Linked DNA regions of Caenorhabditis elegans. The protein of the gene in region 1 purifies or fractionates together with the protein of each later gene. This does not show direct contact. Each region holds a gene or a part of one and is shown in the gene's direction. Other genes may lie near its edges.

Region 1 (10,197 bases):
CCAAACATCATAAAAAATTCTAAGAAATGTTTAACTTGCAGTGAAAAAAAAGAAGTTTATCAGTTTGCGCCCCTCACAACTATTGAAGTTTACCAAAAGTTGTTCTGTTATGCAGATTTCATATTCCAATTTTGTTTTAATTACCGTATTTCCTTCATGCATCCCAAAACTTCCCTTTAAAAGATTATACGTAACTCGCTTCATCTTGAAGATATCAATAAAAAATTAACTAAATACGATAGAAAAAGAATCAGCAAACATTTCTGGTTGACAGTTTTTAAATGGAACAAACGTCAACCAAAATATATGATAGAAAAGTTGAAAAATGTAATGCAATGCTACTAAATAAAATATATATATATATATATATATATATATAATTTTCAGTAGGACATAACTTGCTATACGGTTTCAAAATTCTTGAAAAGATGATCACAAAATTGTCATATTGATTCAAAATGTTGCACACACTGAATTCTTTTGGGGTGTTCCACCAAGATATATGCAATTTCGTTGCGATTTCAATTATTTTTGTTTAAAATCCCGGTTTAATAATAAGGCTTCAGTAAAATAATATTTTCATTGAATGTTGAAATAATATTCAGAACATCTCATCCCGGTTTATATTCTCAAACGATATATTTACAAGAAAGTATAATAAGTGCTTCAAAATCTGACTGCCAGGCAAAAACCACAATTACCAAGAAAACATGATACAGGGCACAAAACCCAAAATCATATTATTAGATGAAGCTCGACATTTTGTTTTCTCACTTCCTTCAGTTTTCAAGTTTCACACGCTGCCATTTGGCATGTGATATCAGCTACTACCAGTGTTTTTCAGAGTGTTAACATATTCAATAAAAACTGGAACGATTTATTCACGCTCTCAAAAGAGACAACTCGGATTTTCAAAACATTCGAACCTAACAAAACCTTTTTTTTGGTTGAATATTGAATAACTGAATTACTTTATGTTTATCGGAGTTTTCTATCGTTTTTTTTTGCTCTCTTCACCTGTCTCTTTGTCTCTGAGCAGATGCAGATAAGCGACATCTGCCACGTCGTCATGTGTTGACGACCCTCTTCTCATATTAAGTGACCACCCCTTCTGCTCTCGTCTGCTGACTGTTCTTCCTATTCATTTGGGTGTTCCGTTCTACTAGGAGACTTCGGCACAAAATGGCTGAATGGCAATATTCGAACAGTTACTTGGTTGGCCCATTGATAACTTTTACATCAGCTATCAGTTTTGTCATGGGCAAACCCAGTACGGTACAGAATCTATGGAACCCTGAAGAGTTTTATCCAGCACCCTTAATTGCTGCACTTTTCTGTATTTTTGCTTGCGCTTCAACCATCAAAAAGCGAGTTGCAACTAGACCAAGCGACCTTCGAGAACTTGGTACTTCATGGAAAAGAAGCCTTATTGTAGGATATATTCTTGTCATTGGTATAAGTACTGCCTGTCAAGTTACTATTTGGAAATGGAATTGGCACCCAAGAGTGAGTTGTGAATTTCGTCTTTTTTTTGTCCAGATATTAGATATTTTATATTAGACACATTTTTTTTTAATGATTCAAAAAATCATATTTCAGGGTTCATATTCCTTGTTTGTCATATCAAATCTTGTGATGATGATGGTGTACGTTTCATTCGTAACTAATATAGCCGAACAATGTGTTTTTATTTACCGCTGGACGCTTGTTATGCCTTTAAGCATCTTAGCGTCAACAGCTTACATATCAACGTTCATACCATCAGAAGAACCAGGAGTATGTTTTAAGCATAATTGGCATACATTTATCATATCGTTGTTTCAGGACCGATGGCTGTTCAACCTGTACTACAACGTTGTAACTGCTATAAGTATTAAAGATTTGTATGCTGTGCTGGTTAACGACATTCGTGTTCATATCCATTGGGAGAAAGAGTACAATAAACTCAACTACAACATATCTCATCAAGGTGACGAAGTTAACCAATCCGAGTATTCAAGTTCAGATGAAGACTGGGAAAAAGTCGGAGAGGATGATTGTGATGAGACGTTAGATAATTGTGATAACTGAATAGTTTCTAAATAAATTTCTAAAGATGTTGCTAAAGGGAAACCAAAACGTTTTTTTTTGTTTTTCTACAATTTGTTGTATCATTTTTTAATCAAAAGATTGTACATAAATAAGTAATATACAAATTTGATAATCAGATGGAATTTTTTCTTCACGTCAAATTTCCCATCTAAAACTTTTCATTTCTAATGCATTTTTTTTTGGTTTTTAAAATGTCAGTTTTTCTCATCTCAGTATTTTTGTCAAATATTTTTAATATAAATAAACGTATTCTGTCTTAATGTTCCTTGCAACTCAAAATCTATCAAAGTATATTCCAGTACATAGGCATTTAACAAAAATTATAATTTTTAGGAGTTTCCAAATCGATAATATGACGTTTTTATTCAAGAGCAGCCTTTCGACATCTAATTATGGAGACTCTTTCCACATTCCCTTTTTCTCTAATCCTCTCCTTGTTTGAATAGATGAACACTCTCGTTGCCCCCTTCCCTCATGTTTCCTTGCGAGCGTGGCCGACGTGGTTGTGCACAGCCACCAAACGTGCAAAGGCGATCACTGACGCATTTATTGAGCCGACGTCAGCATTACTGGCACGCATTCACAAACTATTCATTTTTAGAATTTTATTTTTTAAATAACACATTTCTTTCTATTTGTCTTGCTATTTTCTGTGAAGAAACTTTAAAAAAATGAAATTTTCAATTTTCCAGGTAATTATGAACCTAACAGGTTTATTAATATTTTTTTGCCATATTGCGGTTCTCGCAGCTCTCGAAAAGAAAGGAGTTCACACATCTCTTAAAGCAAATTGGGATTCAACGTCACTTTTAGCCGAAGCAAGGTTAGTTATTAAAAGTCTTAGAAAAAATACGAAGCGTTTTTTCAGTGAGTTCATCGCGGAAGAAAATGAGAAATTGTTTGTAAAATTCATCGATATTGTAAACAAAGATGTCGGTACATTGAATTGGGAAAAATGTGAGTGAATTGTCAATAATCGGCAATATGATATCTTTGATTTTCAGTAACGGATGAGCAAAAATACGAGTACACAATCAAGACGGCAGGCAAAGTACTGTCAACATCATCTGTGGACCTTCTCAAGTTTGCTTTGGCTCTTCGCCAGTATTCTCCACGTGTTCAATCCTTCCAGCAGGTGATTTCTTTATACTAATGAATTTTATTAGATGAAAAACATTAAATTCTCCAGATTGCTGTTGAATATGGAGAGAAATGTGATGTCTTTGTCGTGGTCGGCGAACAAGTTTCATGTGAATACACTAAGCTGGAAAAAATGATCAAGGACGCAAAAACGAACAGCCAAGTGCTTGAGTCGGATCATATTTTTGGTGAGAAGGATTTGAAGCAGGCAGCGATTTTGTACGGAGAGCTGGGTACAACTTCTTTCGCCAAAGCTTGGGAAAAGTTGAGCAAACTGCAAAAGACCAAGCTCATTTTCCGTCATTTTTCAAAGGTATACTTAAAATGGAAAATGAAACCCCATTTTAAGGAAGTATTTTCAGAAAACTGATTCTCACCCAGTGTCACTTTCCGGATACGGTGTAGAACTTGCTATCAAGAACACGGAGTACAAGGCTGTCGACGAGAGCAGTGAAAAGAAAAATGTAGAAGAAGACGAAGCTGATCTTTTTGGATTCAACATTAAACTTCTCAAAGAACTTCACCCAGATTCCGTAGATGCCATTGAATCATTCCGTGTGAACCTAAAGGAATCCGACGAATTGACTCCATTGAAAAGATGGGAACTTCAAGATCTCAGTTACCAAGCAGCGCAGAAAATTGTCAATGCAGGGCCAGCTGATGCTATTGGAACTCTGGAGGAATACTCCCAAAACTTCCCAACTCATGCTCGTGCTCTTGCAAAGACGTCAGTCTCAGATCTTTTAAGGAAAGAGGTTCTCCAAAATCGCAAGATGCTAGAGAAGGCAAGCATTGAAGTTGGAGAAACATCGTTGTACATCAATGGAATCAATCAAGATATTAACAGCCTTGATTTGTTCAAGTTAGCTGATCTCCTCAAGCAAGAGAATAAACTCGCCGATGGTTTCCATAGTATGGGAATTAACGTGAGTTTCCATGAATACAGAAATAAGTGTAACAATAAAGAAATTTCAGCGCGAGTATTTGTCAATTCTTGTTGGAATGGACACTTCTGATGATGAGAAGACAACTTATGCAGTCGATCACAGAGAGGGATATCCATTCGTAAGCTTACGAAGAAAATACTTTTCTCAAAAACCAATTTCAGTTTATCAATAATCTGGACACTGACAAAAAGTACAAACAATGGGGAAACAGTGTCAAGCTTATGCTCCAACCATACTACCCGGGAATGATCCGACCAATTGCACGTAATTTGTTCAGTTTGGTATTCGTAGTGGATCCAAGTACTTCCGAAGGCCGGAAATTCCTTAGAATTGGGCAGACATTTAACAGTCACGATATTGCTATGAGAATCGGATACATCTTTGCTGTTAACCAGGATACTAAAGCCAGTGGAGAAACAGATCTTGGAGTTGCCCTTCTCAATCTCTTCAACTTTGTTTCCATCGACTCTTCAAATGCCGATGCACTGAAAGTTCTCAACAACTTCCTTGATGACTATCGCTCTAAAGACCCAACTATTGAGGATATCAAAGAATTCTTCGAGGCTAAATTCAGTGATGCCAGCTTCTCCGATGTGTTTGGAGTCAACTCTGATTATGATAAAGGACGCAAGCATGGATTTGAATTTGTGCAAAAGACTGGTCTTAACTCGGCACCGAAGGTTCTCCTCAACGGTTTCATTTTGGACGATGAAGGGGTTCGCGGCGACAATATTGAAGAGACTATTATGATGGAAGTTATGAAGATCTCTCCAAAAATCCAAAGAGCCATTATGGAAGGTATACTTTTTTTAAAGCACTCTCGATTCCTCTTTACATTTTTCTTTACTTTTCAGGAAAACTGACCGACCGTATGAATGTTGGAAACTGGGTTCTCGAACAAAAGGATGTCATGCCAAGAATTAACAAGCGAATTTTATCCGCTCCAAGCAAGAAGACCTATGTTGAAATTCTTGGATCAATGGATTGCAAATCATTGAAGGATGTGGAAAACCTTTCGGATTCGGACAAAGCTGGATGTCTTCTCCAAACTACAAAGTACTTACAAAAAGCATCAGCCGATTCTATTTTGGTAAGAACTTTACTTCAGTTCAGTTTGAATGCATATAAATTTTCAGCCAGTCACATTATGGGTGGTCGCTGACGCCGAGGCTGCATCGGGACGTCGTTTCATTTACAATTCACTTCAAATATTGAAAAACTCTGCCAACTCTAGAGTTGGAATCATCTTCAATCCAGAAAGTGTTGAAAAGGCATGCGAGTCAAACAGCATCTCTTCGTACATTAGAGCTGCTCTTGATTTTCTTCCGATGGACCAAGCTAAGCGATTGATTCTCAAGTTGAGCAATGAGGAGTATGCAGCTGACTTCATTTCTGGAAAAATCACATTTGACGATCTTAGTGTTGGTGGTATGGATACTGCTAAATTCCTTGCCGATAAGAAGAAACTTGACTGTGAAAGAACTCGATTGGAGTCTCAGATTGTGAAAAAAGTACTCGATATCTCATCTGGTGGCCGTGTTGTTGTTGGAAATGCTCTCCAAGTTGGACCTCTTGAAAGCTCAGAACATTTCGAAGCTGCTGATTTCAAACTTTTGGAAAGTATGTTGTTGAGCAGAGGTGCTGAAGTTATTTCTTCTCATCTCAAGAAGTGGGAGTTTGACGTTTCCAACGGAGTTGGATCAAACACGGTTTTCTCGATTGCTGGACACGTTGGAAAGCACGCTTCTTCACAGAAACGCACATGGGTTAGCATCCAAGGAGATGAGCACAGTGTTGTCACACTTCCAGCTGATGAAATGGATCGACCAGCTGTTGACGTTCTTGCCGTTGTTGATCCACTCACTATGGAAGCACAAAAACTCGGATCGATTCTCCATTTGATTAAAAAGGTTACAAACTGCGAAATCAAAATTGTGATGAATCCAAAAGATAAGCACTCTGAACTTCCGTTGAAGAGATTCTACAGATACGCTGCTGCTTCTGAATTGAGTTTCGATCACAATGGAAACTTGAACACAAATGTTGTCAGGTGAATACTTTCTATTTAATAAAACCAATTTCAATTTCACAATTTCAGGTTCGATAATCTTCCCAGTAAGCAACTTCTGACACTTTCGCTGCAAGCTCCCGACTCATGGATAGTGGAAGCCGTTTCTGCCAAGTATGATTTGGATAACATCAAGATGGAACAAGCCAACGGAGATGTCACTGCCGAGTTTGCACTCCAACACTTACTTCTCGATGGACAGTGTTTCGACGAAGTTAGTGGTCAACCACCACGCGGTCTGCAGTTCACTTTGGGAACGGACAAGAACCCTAAACAATTTGATACAATCGTTATGGCTAATTTAGGATATTTCCAACTTAAAGCAAATCCTGGTGCTTGGAAACTAGAGATCCGTGATGGAAAATCTAGTGAGATTTACAAGATTGGATCGCATGTTGGAGCGGAGAAGATTGGGGAGGATGTGCTTCAAGTTGTTATTGACTCATTCACTGGTAAATCAGTAAGAGTTCGTGTTGAAAAACGTGAAGGCATGGAGGAGAGAAATCTTCTTTCCGACGATGAAGAAGGTGTTTGGAGCAGTCTTAGCAAGTAAGCATTTTGTTTAAACTCTTTTGAAATAATCTCATAATGTTATTTTCAGCTTGGTGAGCAGCAAAGAAAAAACCCAGGAAGTGATCAATGTATTTTCTCTCGCATCCGGTCACTTGTACGAACGGTTCATGAGAATCATGATTGTCTCGGTCATGAAGAACACGAAGCATCCAGTTAAATTCTGGCTTCTCAAGAACTACCTGTCGCCACAATTCAAAGAGACACTTCCAACTCTTGCCAAGCACTATGGTTTCGAGTATGAACTGATCGAGTACAAGTGGCCAAGGTGGCTTCACCAGCAGAAGGAGAAACAACGTATTATGTGGGGATTCAAGATTCTTTTCCTTGATGTACTCTTCCCACTTGATGTTCAAAAGGTGATCTTTGTGGACGCTGACCAGGTGGTGCGTGCTGATTTGATGGAGCTGATGAAGTTTGATCTTGGAAATGCGCCATACGGATATGTGCCATTCTGTGAAAGTAGAAAGGAGATGGACGGATTCCGATTCTGGAAGCAAGGATATTGGGCGAACCATCTCGCTGGGAGAAGATATCACATTAGTGCTCTCTACGTTATTGATCTTCAAAAGTTCCGTCAAATCGCTGCCGGAGATCGTCTTCGTGGACAATATCAAGGACTATCTGGCGATCCAAACAGTCTGGCTAACTTGGATCAAGACTTGCCAAATAACATGATCCATCAGGTTAAGATCAAATCGCTTCCACAAGAGTGGCTTTGGTGTGAGACTTGGTGCGATGATGGAAGCAAGAAGAATGCAAAGACTATTGACTTGGTAAGTTGATTGAACACAACTGAAATGCTGTGCCATTGATCTGTTTTAAATTTCCGTGAACAATTAACAATTTTCAGTGCAACAACCCGCTCACAAAAGAGCCAAAGCTCGACTCAGCCGCCAGAATTATTGGAGAATGGAAAACGTATGATGACGAAATCCGGGAAGTCATTTCTGGACATTCTTCTGATAACCCTTCGGATAATGTCATTTCTGAAAATGATGACTCTCACACGGAACTTTAAATTAATCTTTTCATATGCCAAGTTTACCCGTTATTTATTGAAAATGTTTCCAATCACCATTATGATATTCAAAACTCTGGGTATATTTTTTTCCAAATCAGTCGATTCGCTTTTTCTGCTATTTATTTTTTAGCTTTTGACTATGAGAGCTTTCAAAATTTCATTTTCAAATATTGTCAAACTTGTGATGAATCTTTGAAACATTTTTTTGCCTCTCTCTATCCAATAAATATTTTCTTTTTCTTGATGTGTGGGTGTATTAAAGAATGCATTTGCTTGATTTTTCTGAAAGCGGATATTACAACAATATCAATGCGATGCTCGTCGGGTCAAATCCTCATTCGAATCATTTGATCGAAAGAAGATGTTTCGAGCGGTCATCGTTTCCTCTCTACTTGCATTCGTGTTTTCAATGTACATTGCGGACCCGGCAAAATGGGAACGCCATCAGTACTTGGTGAAGGTAAGACTTGCTCAACTCGCTTCGAATTTTATGTTTTATGTTCAGGTACTCACTAAGGATACCAAACTGAAGAATATCTCAACTTGCACGGGAACTCTTTTGTCTCCATCCGTTGTGCTAACCAGCTCGAAATGTTTCCCAGACACCAGAAAGTATGGTTTCAAATTTTTAAATATTCCCGTAGCAAAATAAGAAGCTTACGAACGAACATAGCGCATTATAGTCTCTTACATTTTACACTTTTTCTGCTCTGAATTCGACTACGCAAAAGATTCGTGAATTGGCTTGTTGTGCGGAATGTGCTGACAATTTTCGATTGAAAACTTAGACGAAACTATGCCAGAGATAGTTTATAGAAATATATGTATAGCAACTGTTGGTTTAGAAGAAACGCTGAAATGGATTTTTATTTGAAGGCAATTTAATATTTATTTAGGAACCTTATTGCACAAGCTATTATCAAAAAGAAGGATTCCTCTGCTACCATGAACAAAGCAATGCTTGCTGTGAAAATTGACGGCGACTTGGCTCTGATGAAAATCGATGCGGTTAATGAAGATCATGTAAAAAAGACTCTAGTATTTGCAACTCTTATTAGAGAAATTATTTTTATAGTTTTGCGATAAGGAGCCACACCCACCAAGAGTTGCACGGCTCAACTTCAAACCAAGCTTGACTGATGCTACTTACCGTACAATTGTGCCAAGGGATCTTCAAGATTCCAAATGTAGAGTGATTGGATTTGAAACTACGGAAGATGGTTCGTAACTACAAAACTATGTAGCTACTAAATAAGTTATTATATTTTTAGTGGAAGACTTCGCTACTTCACACAAAGTCCAAGTATTGGATCTTGATGTTCACGCTGACACAGAAAATCTCATGTTCTCAGAAGTTAACAGTAACTCTACAGGTCGTGTTTGCTGGGTAAGCGTTTTTGTTGTTTTTTGGAAATACACACTTTCAAACTTTGCATTACTTAGTTTTTATAAAAAGTAATTGTTCAAATTCAGGATGATATAGGAGCACCACTGGAATGTGTTCTGGATGTAGAAAACAATAAATATGTTCAAGTAGGAATTGTTTCTGGTCTCTACGGGCGTGAGGTAGGCTTATCGCTTATTTTGTCTTTAAACTTATGATTTTTATAGATGGACAAGGAAGACAACAGCACAATGGTGGTTGTCAACTGCTCAGAAGTTCAGGTAAAATCAACGAGCAATTATTCTGAATACATTACGTAATAGAAATTCTTTATAAAAAACCGCATTTTGTAGTGTTGAGAATCTTATCAGACAACAAAATACGCCGGTGATTGATTTCTCATCTTTTGGACTTTCGGGAGGAAATATGAGATTAAAAGAAACGGGGGGCAAGGGGCAAAGTAAATAATCTTCTCCATTATGTGGATTTCCAATATTATCAATTTCCAGACCATGCAATTTGTTGTCTTTAGCGACAATACATTTGTCCATGCTATTGAGAATGTGGACAAGGCTAGCGTTTTTGAAGCACAGGACAAATGCTTCTAATTTAAATTCCACTTTTTCATTCTTCATTCCCTTTGAAATAAATGTTTTTATGATGCAATAAACACTTGTTGGTCCCTTATAACGTATTGATTTTCGTGTGCACATTTTGTGTTTGCTCTGTACTTCTATTCTTACGTTTGCATCTTTCATTCTATCCTTTGGTTTCAATTAAAATTGTTGCAAAAACCTAAATGAACATCGGTCTTTTTCAAGAATCTTTTAGTGTAATAATTGTGTTTGAAAATCAATCAGATGTTTGTTGCAGAAAAAATGAAAAAGAAACATTCTATTTTTTTGAAACAACGAACTTCTCATTACTTCGAATGTTTTATATTTCGGTACTTGTGTAGTACATACCTAGCCCA
Region 2 (6,258 bases), on another chromosome or scaffold:
CGTGAAAACGCTCAAAAACGGGACAAAAGACGTCCCGTTCCCGTAAAAATGACAAAAACGGGACAGCGGGAATTCCCGTTCCCGTGAAAACACCCCAAAAACGGGACAACGGGACAAACGGGAATTGACACCCTTGCTCGCGGCCACGACACCTTCATGTTTCGAAAAATTTTGAAGAGGAAAAGTGCTTTAATTGGTGGCCGAGGTTTGTTTCTTTCTAGGCTACGTTGCAAAAACTGTTACCTTACTACGTGGCCGTGGAATGAAAATACTCGGACACCAGGTGATTTTTTTTTTTGAAATTTCAAAATTTCAAAATCTATAAAACTATTTCTGTAATGGTGCGTCCATAGTCTGCGGAAAACGGGAATTTCCCGCGTGCGGAAGCGTCCATAGTCTGCGGAAAAACCGTAGTTTCCTCGCTTTTTTTTCCTCAAAATTCAAAAAAGTAGGCGTGGTCTTTTTTCGCTTTCCCATTGCTCAGCTTAAAATTTTACAACCTCTAATTTGTTGGACACGCCCACTATTTTGAAATTGACCAATAACAAAGCGAGAAACTCCTTCTTTTTTCCGCAGACTATGGACGCTTCCGCACGCGGGAAATTCCCGTTTTCCGCAGACTATGGACACACCATAAGAAATTCAAAAAACTTAAAATCTGAAACTTCTACATTATACAATTATAATATTCAGGTGAAATACTGTCACCAGGCTATCCAACCACATATCCGAAGAATTCCACGTGTAATTGGTTGATCCGTGTAGAAGCCCGACAACGAATCTACATTCGAATAGTTCATTTACACTTGGCCCCCACTATTGCAGAATGTGAACGAGCATCACTAACAATAATCGATGGATATAAACATGAAAAATATGGAATTGATCGAAAGGAATCCACGTCAGAGACGTCTGAAGCAAAATTCTGTGGAAGTCAGCTGTATTATGCAGAAGAGGGAATGAAAAGCTATTTATCAAGTGCAAATCGAATTGTTGTACGATTTATTACACAGGAAGGACCACCGTCTTCAATGATTGGGGAAGAGAGGATTGGATTTAAAGTTGTATGGACTGCAGTGGAGGGTCTGATTGGAGAAGGTGATGAGAGTGTTAATGGAAATTCTTGTAAGGATCAATTTATGTGCCATGGGGGACAAGTTTGTGTTGAACAGGTTTGTGAAAAATCAGAATGTTTTCAATGAATCTATATGTAGTTCCTTGTTATTTTTTAGAAATTAACTTGAATCATAAATTCAAAAAAAAAGAGTTGTTTAATTACAAAACTTTTTATTTAATCCAAAATTTTGGGTTAGTGTAGTCACTAAAGTACGCAAACGGAACTACAGTACCCAAAAACATCCCATTTCACGACATTTGCTAGTTTCGAGCTGGAAAATTGATTTTTGAACGGGAGAAAACATAAATTCGACAGTCTGAATATTCGAAAAAAAAGGAGAAATTCTAAAGTTGAACAGAACCTATTTAGAATAAATTTTGTTTTGTAAGAAAAATTAATTAGCCTTTTCGTGATTTGTATTTTTGATATTTAACAAATTGAATTGCCACAATGCTGAAATCCATGTATTTTCAATTACTTTTTTCTACTTCAGGGTCATGGAATTTGCGCTTCACGGTCCCGTCTCTGCATTCACAGCTCTCTCGTTTGTGACGGAATCCATAATTGTGTTGAAGGAGATTTCTCCGACGAGCAACACTGTAAGCTCATTTTCCAGTAAAATCCAAGATCTAAAAATTTCCAGGTTACTCCCGAGAGATAATAACATCGGCGGCACTCGGATTCTCGTTGATTGTGCTCACGATGCTCGTCTTGGTGTGCTGTGATCAGTTCAGGAAGCGGCGACGGCTTCGGGTGATGATTCGGGAACGAAGAGCCGCGTCGGAGAATGGGAAATGTAAAAATATGAATAATAATTCGATTACAACACGGATACAGCCGAACCGGTGACTATTAGAGAGCGAATTGTGAATGTTTTCGCGATTCGCTCGACAAATTTATCGAATTTTTCACAATTTTATAATTTAAAATTGCTTTTCAGTTAATGTAACGGAGCTTTTTTCTTTTATTTTTAATTTGAAACTTTAATAAACATTATTCAAACATATAAATTATTTACTTTCGACAATTTTCAAGTGTTTTGCCTGGCAGAATAGAAAGAATTATGGAAATATTAATTCTTTATCAGCGGGAAAGTAAAAGAAAAATAACGGCAACTCCGTGCGGCGATATTGCGAAAACCGCGCGCGCGCATTGCAAAGGGGCGGAGACTCGTCTTTTTGTCATCTTTTGTCATCACTAAAACTAACTAAAACAAAATTTTCTATATCTTTCGCAGGTTTTCGCTTTTTTAACGAGTTTTCTCATTCTTTCTATGGAAATACTGATGAATGTGTAGAGTTGGTCGATATTGGGACCTGTGAAATTTATACTTTCAGCTCAGATGTTATTCTTCGCTGTTTCTTCTTAATTTCTCTTTTTAATCACTTGAAACTCAATTATATCTTTATTTCAGCTCACTTCAAGCGGGAATGTCATCACGAGGAGTTCGAGCGGCGGGTACCGATGGGACGGACTTCCAAAATCGGCAGAGGGTCGCACAGCACTACCAGGAGAGCGCTCAATACAAGTCGATCCTCAAGTGGTTCTTCGTTCCACACTTCTTGATCCTGGTCTTCATGTGGCTCAAGGTTGGCAGCGAACTCCTCCGAACAAATTTCGGATGGAAAAACGCGTTCTTCGATCGACTGGACATGCCGTCAGCCTACCCATGGGAGTATGTGTGGTGCTTCTCATTCATTCCGATCGTCCTCGCCATCTATTCGTTCCAACGAAACAAAGTAATTTATTTATTGATCAATTTGCCACAAATATAACTTCTTATTTCAGCTCAAGATCCTCCACTACGCCTACTATGCCGAGTTCGTCGTCGGAATCTTCCCATGCATGATCGGGCTTGGAGGACAACTTCCAGAGCTGATGGAGTATGCTCAAGACATGGAGGGAAGCAACACACCGACATTCAAAGGAATCTTCCCGATGGTCATCATATGGTACATCTTCTTCGCGGTCGCACTCCAGATTCACGGATTCTCCATGTACTTCATGCATCACCTTGCCGCCGCATGGGCTCCAGTCAAGCGAGATTAAATTTTCTCCGTTTTGTGATATTATTTTTCAATTTTCCCCCATTTGTTGAGTTGTGTACCTTTTCCTTGTTAATAGTATTTTTATTCAAATTCCTGCTAGTCTCTATTGCCAAATTAATAATTCCATATCTTTTATTTATTTTCTTACTTTTTCTAATTACCGGTTACTGTTCTACAGTTCCGTTGATACTTTTCTGTTTCAATATTGATTGCATTTGTTTCATTTTGTTAAATCAATTTTCAGAATCGAACTCCAAAGATGTGGGGCGAGACATTCGACGATTTCGAGAATGACGAAGGAGAGATGGCAATGGCCAAGCAGAACCTGATCGCCGAGCCGGCTCGAGCTGATTTCACTTTCGCGAAGCTTCCGTTGGGAATCCAGCCCGTCGATTTCATGAAGACTCACTTCGCCGAGACCGCCGGAAAATCCATGCAATTCCGCAAAGGAACCACCACATTGGCGTTCGTCTACGAGCCAGCAACTCCAGCTGACAAGGGAGGAATCATTGTGGCTGTCGATTCACGAGCCTCCAGTGGTGAATACATCTCATCCAAGTCGGTCATGAAGATCTTGGACATCGGAGATCGTATGGTTGCCACGATGGCTGGAGGAGCTGCTGACTGTCAGTTCTGGACCCGAATTGTCGCCAAGTACTGCACGTGAGTTTCAATATTTTCAGCTTCAAAACAAAAATAATTATTTATTTTCAGTTTGTACGAGCTCCGCGAGAAGACCTCAATCACCGTGAGCGCCGCGAGCAAGTACTTTGCAAATACGCTCTATGGATACAGAGGACAAGGATTGTCAGTTGGATCGATGGTGGCCGGATACGATAAGAAGGGACCACAAATCTTCAAAGTCGACTCGGAAGGAGATCGTTGCCAGCTTAAAGTGTGCTCAGTTGGCTCAGGATCTCTGAATGCCTACGGTATCCTCGATAATCACTACAAGCCAAAGATGACGGACGACGAGGCCAGAAAGCTCGGCCTGCGTGCGATCATGCACGCCACTTATCGGGATTCTGGATCCGGAGGCGTCTGCAATTGTACGTGAAGCTTTTTGCTCGGCTATTCCACAAAATGGACCATTTTTCACTAAAAATGGCTTTTATTTTGTCTAAAATTTAAATTTTAGACGATTTTTATTCGAAAAAATTCTTCGGATAAATGAAAAAATTGGTTCATTTTGTGAAATCTCCGGCCACCTTTAATCTAATCGCTTCTATTTTTCATCCTCCAAATTTCAGTGTGCCACATCACGCCAACCGAAAAGATTCGTCTTCCACCAATGGACGTGAGCAAGCTGTGGTACGAGTTTGCCGATGAGCTCGGCAGAGATATCACCTACAACCCAGTCGAGTGATTCAATTTCCCTACGCTGAAATTAATTTTATTCTTCTTACATGTATTTGATGTCTGATCCGATCCCGATTTTTTTTACATACACACCCGTCTTTAAAATGTCATTTATTTCTATTTTTCGTTTCCAATTAATTTATTCTTCTTTTGCTAAATACTCTCTGTACATTAAGTTCTAAAGTTTTCAAGTTCGAAATCCCGAATTTAGGCTTAGAATTTAGAATTTCCCTCGACAACAGGGGTGGCTGGAAGAAACTCTCAATCACATGGCACAAATTGGATTTTTGGAACATTAATATCAAGTAGTTCTAGAGGGATACTGAGATGGAGTTACACTCAAAAGTTTATTGCAATTTTCGAATGTGAAAATCAAGTTAAAGCGATATGTGTCGGCTGGGTGTTGATGACGTGGTGATTATAACAGCTGGAGTCCCATTAGTGTTCCGCCACGCAGGGCCTATTCGTGTTCCAGCTGGAAATAGTTTAATTGTGCTATTATTTGAATTGTTTTTTTCCATTAAAATTGAGAAAAAGTGCGATTTTAAGAGTAATGGGTATCAGTAGGATCTAAATATTTTAGCTACCGTACCCAGGAATATTTTGCAACTTTCTCTAATTTTTTCGACAGCTTTGGATTGTACAGTTTTGGCTGAGAAAGTCAATGGGTAGTTCGAAATTTGCCAAAACTAAGTTTTCCGTAGATCAAACACAAAGGTTGCGCGCCAAATATGATGTTTTGAGTCCTCAATCGGAAAGTACGCAAAGACACACAAAATGCATCAGATTTGACGCGCAAACTTCATTTTTCTTGTTTGTGAAAAAAATATAATATTTTTTTAAAAACTTACAGGACATAGAAGGTGCCACAGATGCCCGTTCTATAAGCTCAATTTGCTGCTCTCTCCGCCTGGGAAGCATCGGACGGCGGCTCTCGGAGCCCACACTATCGCCAGCTTTATTATATATAATGGCACTGGAACGATCGAATTGTGGCTCCTTTTGCATATTATTTATAAAATGGTAACAAGCGGTAAGCATGACGCCCATGAAAATTCCAATGCAGAAGAGTAATCCGACAAGAATCCACGGGAAATCAGATGGCTTGAAGGAATAGGAACTTGGCTGGAAAAATCGAAAATTGGTAAGTGGTCAGCATGCGCGCTCTAATGTTAAAAGAAATATAAATTGTTGGTGTTGGGTCCTGCCGTTATCTAAATTGATATAAACATTTAAGCTACCATAGTCACGAATATTTTTTTTTTTTTTCATTTTGTTAGAATATTTTCGTCGTACAAACCGATAATCGGCAAAATTTTTAAAAAAGTTAAAAACTCTGTAACCGCGCTCCAATGATAAATAATAGAATTGTCGGGTCCCACCACAATCGAATCTTTTCATCTACCTTGAAATTTGCATAATAACAGAAATTGGAAAATTATTTGAAATTCAAAAAATATCTCATTTTTCAGCGGGAATTGGAATTTTACGGAAGCTGGCTTTTTCAGAGTCGATGCACCATGTGCAAAATTTTGACAGGGGATATCTCTTGGTTCATTTTGAAGGTACCAACAAATTTTTAAACTGCAAAATTATCTTTAAAAATTTGGCGTCAAATGTGGTGTATTGTGTCCACAAAGGAAAAATAACCGAAAACACTAGATTTGACGCGCAAATTCTCACCGTAGACGTTTGCTCTTTCTTCTGCGTAGGCGGTGGTGGAAGTGAAGCAGA

Evidence for each region.
Region 2: the proteins of uggt-1 (region 1) and pbs-5 fractionate together in Caenorhabditis elegans (co-fractionation; one large-scale study listed by BioGRID). This does not show direct contact.

Annotation. Positions count from the first base shown.
Region 1 is NC_003284.9:7,493,569-7,503,765, reverse strand, and holds uggt-1 (UDP-Glucose Glycoprotein glucosylTransferase), read left to right. Parts: upstream 1-2,783; 5' UTR 2,784-2,789; coding exon 2,790-2,914; intron 2,915-2,959; coding exon 2,960-3,048; intron 3,049-3,095; coding exon 3,096-3,226; intron 3,227-3,280; coding exon 3,281-3,544; intron 3,545-3,593; coding exon 3,594-4,157; intron 4,158-4,206; coding exon 4,207-4,296; intron 4,297-4,339; coding exon 4,340-4,976; intron 4,977-5,032; coding exon 5,033-5,268; intron 5,269-5,314; coding exon 5,315-6,228; intron 6,229-6,276; coding exon 6,277-6,795; intron 6,796-6,847; coding exon 6,848-7,592; intron 7,593-7,669; coding exon 7,670-7,837; 3' UTR 7,838-8,072; downstream 8,073-10,197. Other genes in the region: F48E3.6 (DUF4220 domain-containing protein), read left to right, coding at 1,258-1,506, 1,600-1,776, 1,825-2,070; try-14 (Peptidase S1 domain-containing protein), read left to right, coding at 8,202-8,300, 8,346-8,452, 8,737-8,863, 8,916-9,060, 9,112-9,227, 9,314-9,406, 9,452-9,505, 9,734-9,832.
Region 2 is NC_003279.8:14,717,629-14,723,886, reverse strand, and holds pbs-5 (Proteasome subunit pbs-5), read left to right. Parts: upstream 1-3,409; 5' UTR 3,410-3,424; coding exon 3,425-3,828; intron 3,829-3,879; coding exon 3,880-4,214; intron 4,215-4,415; coding exon 4,416-4,531; 3' UTR 4,532-4,720; downstream 4,721-6,258. Other genes in the region: sol-2 (CUB domain-containing protein), read left to right, coding at 694-1,172, 1,611-1,716, 1,761-1,966; K05C4.2 (Protein jagunal homolog), read left to right, coding at 2,548-2,856, 2,906-3,166; Y54E5A.8 (Conserved plasma membrane protein), read right to left, coding at 4,902-4,999, 5,376-5,649, 6,208-6,258. UniProt on the Caenorhabditis elegans protein: Component of the 20S core proteasome complex involved in the proteolytic degradation of most intracellular proteins. This complex plays numerous essential roles within the cell by associating with different regulatory particles.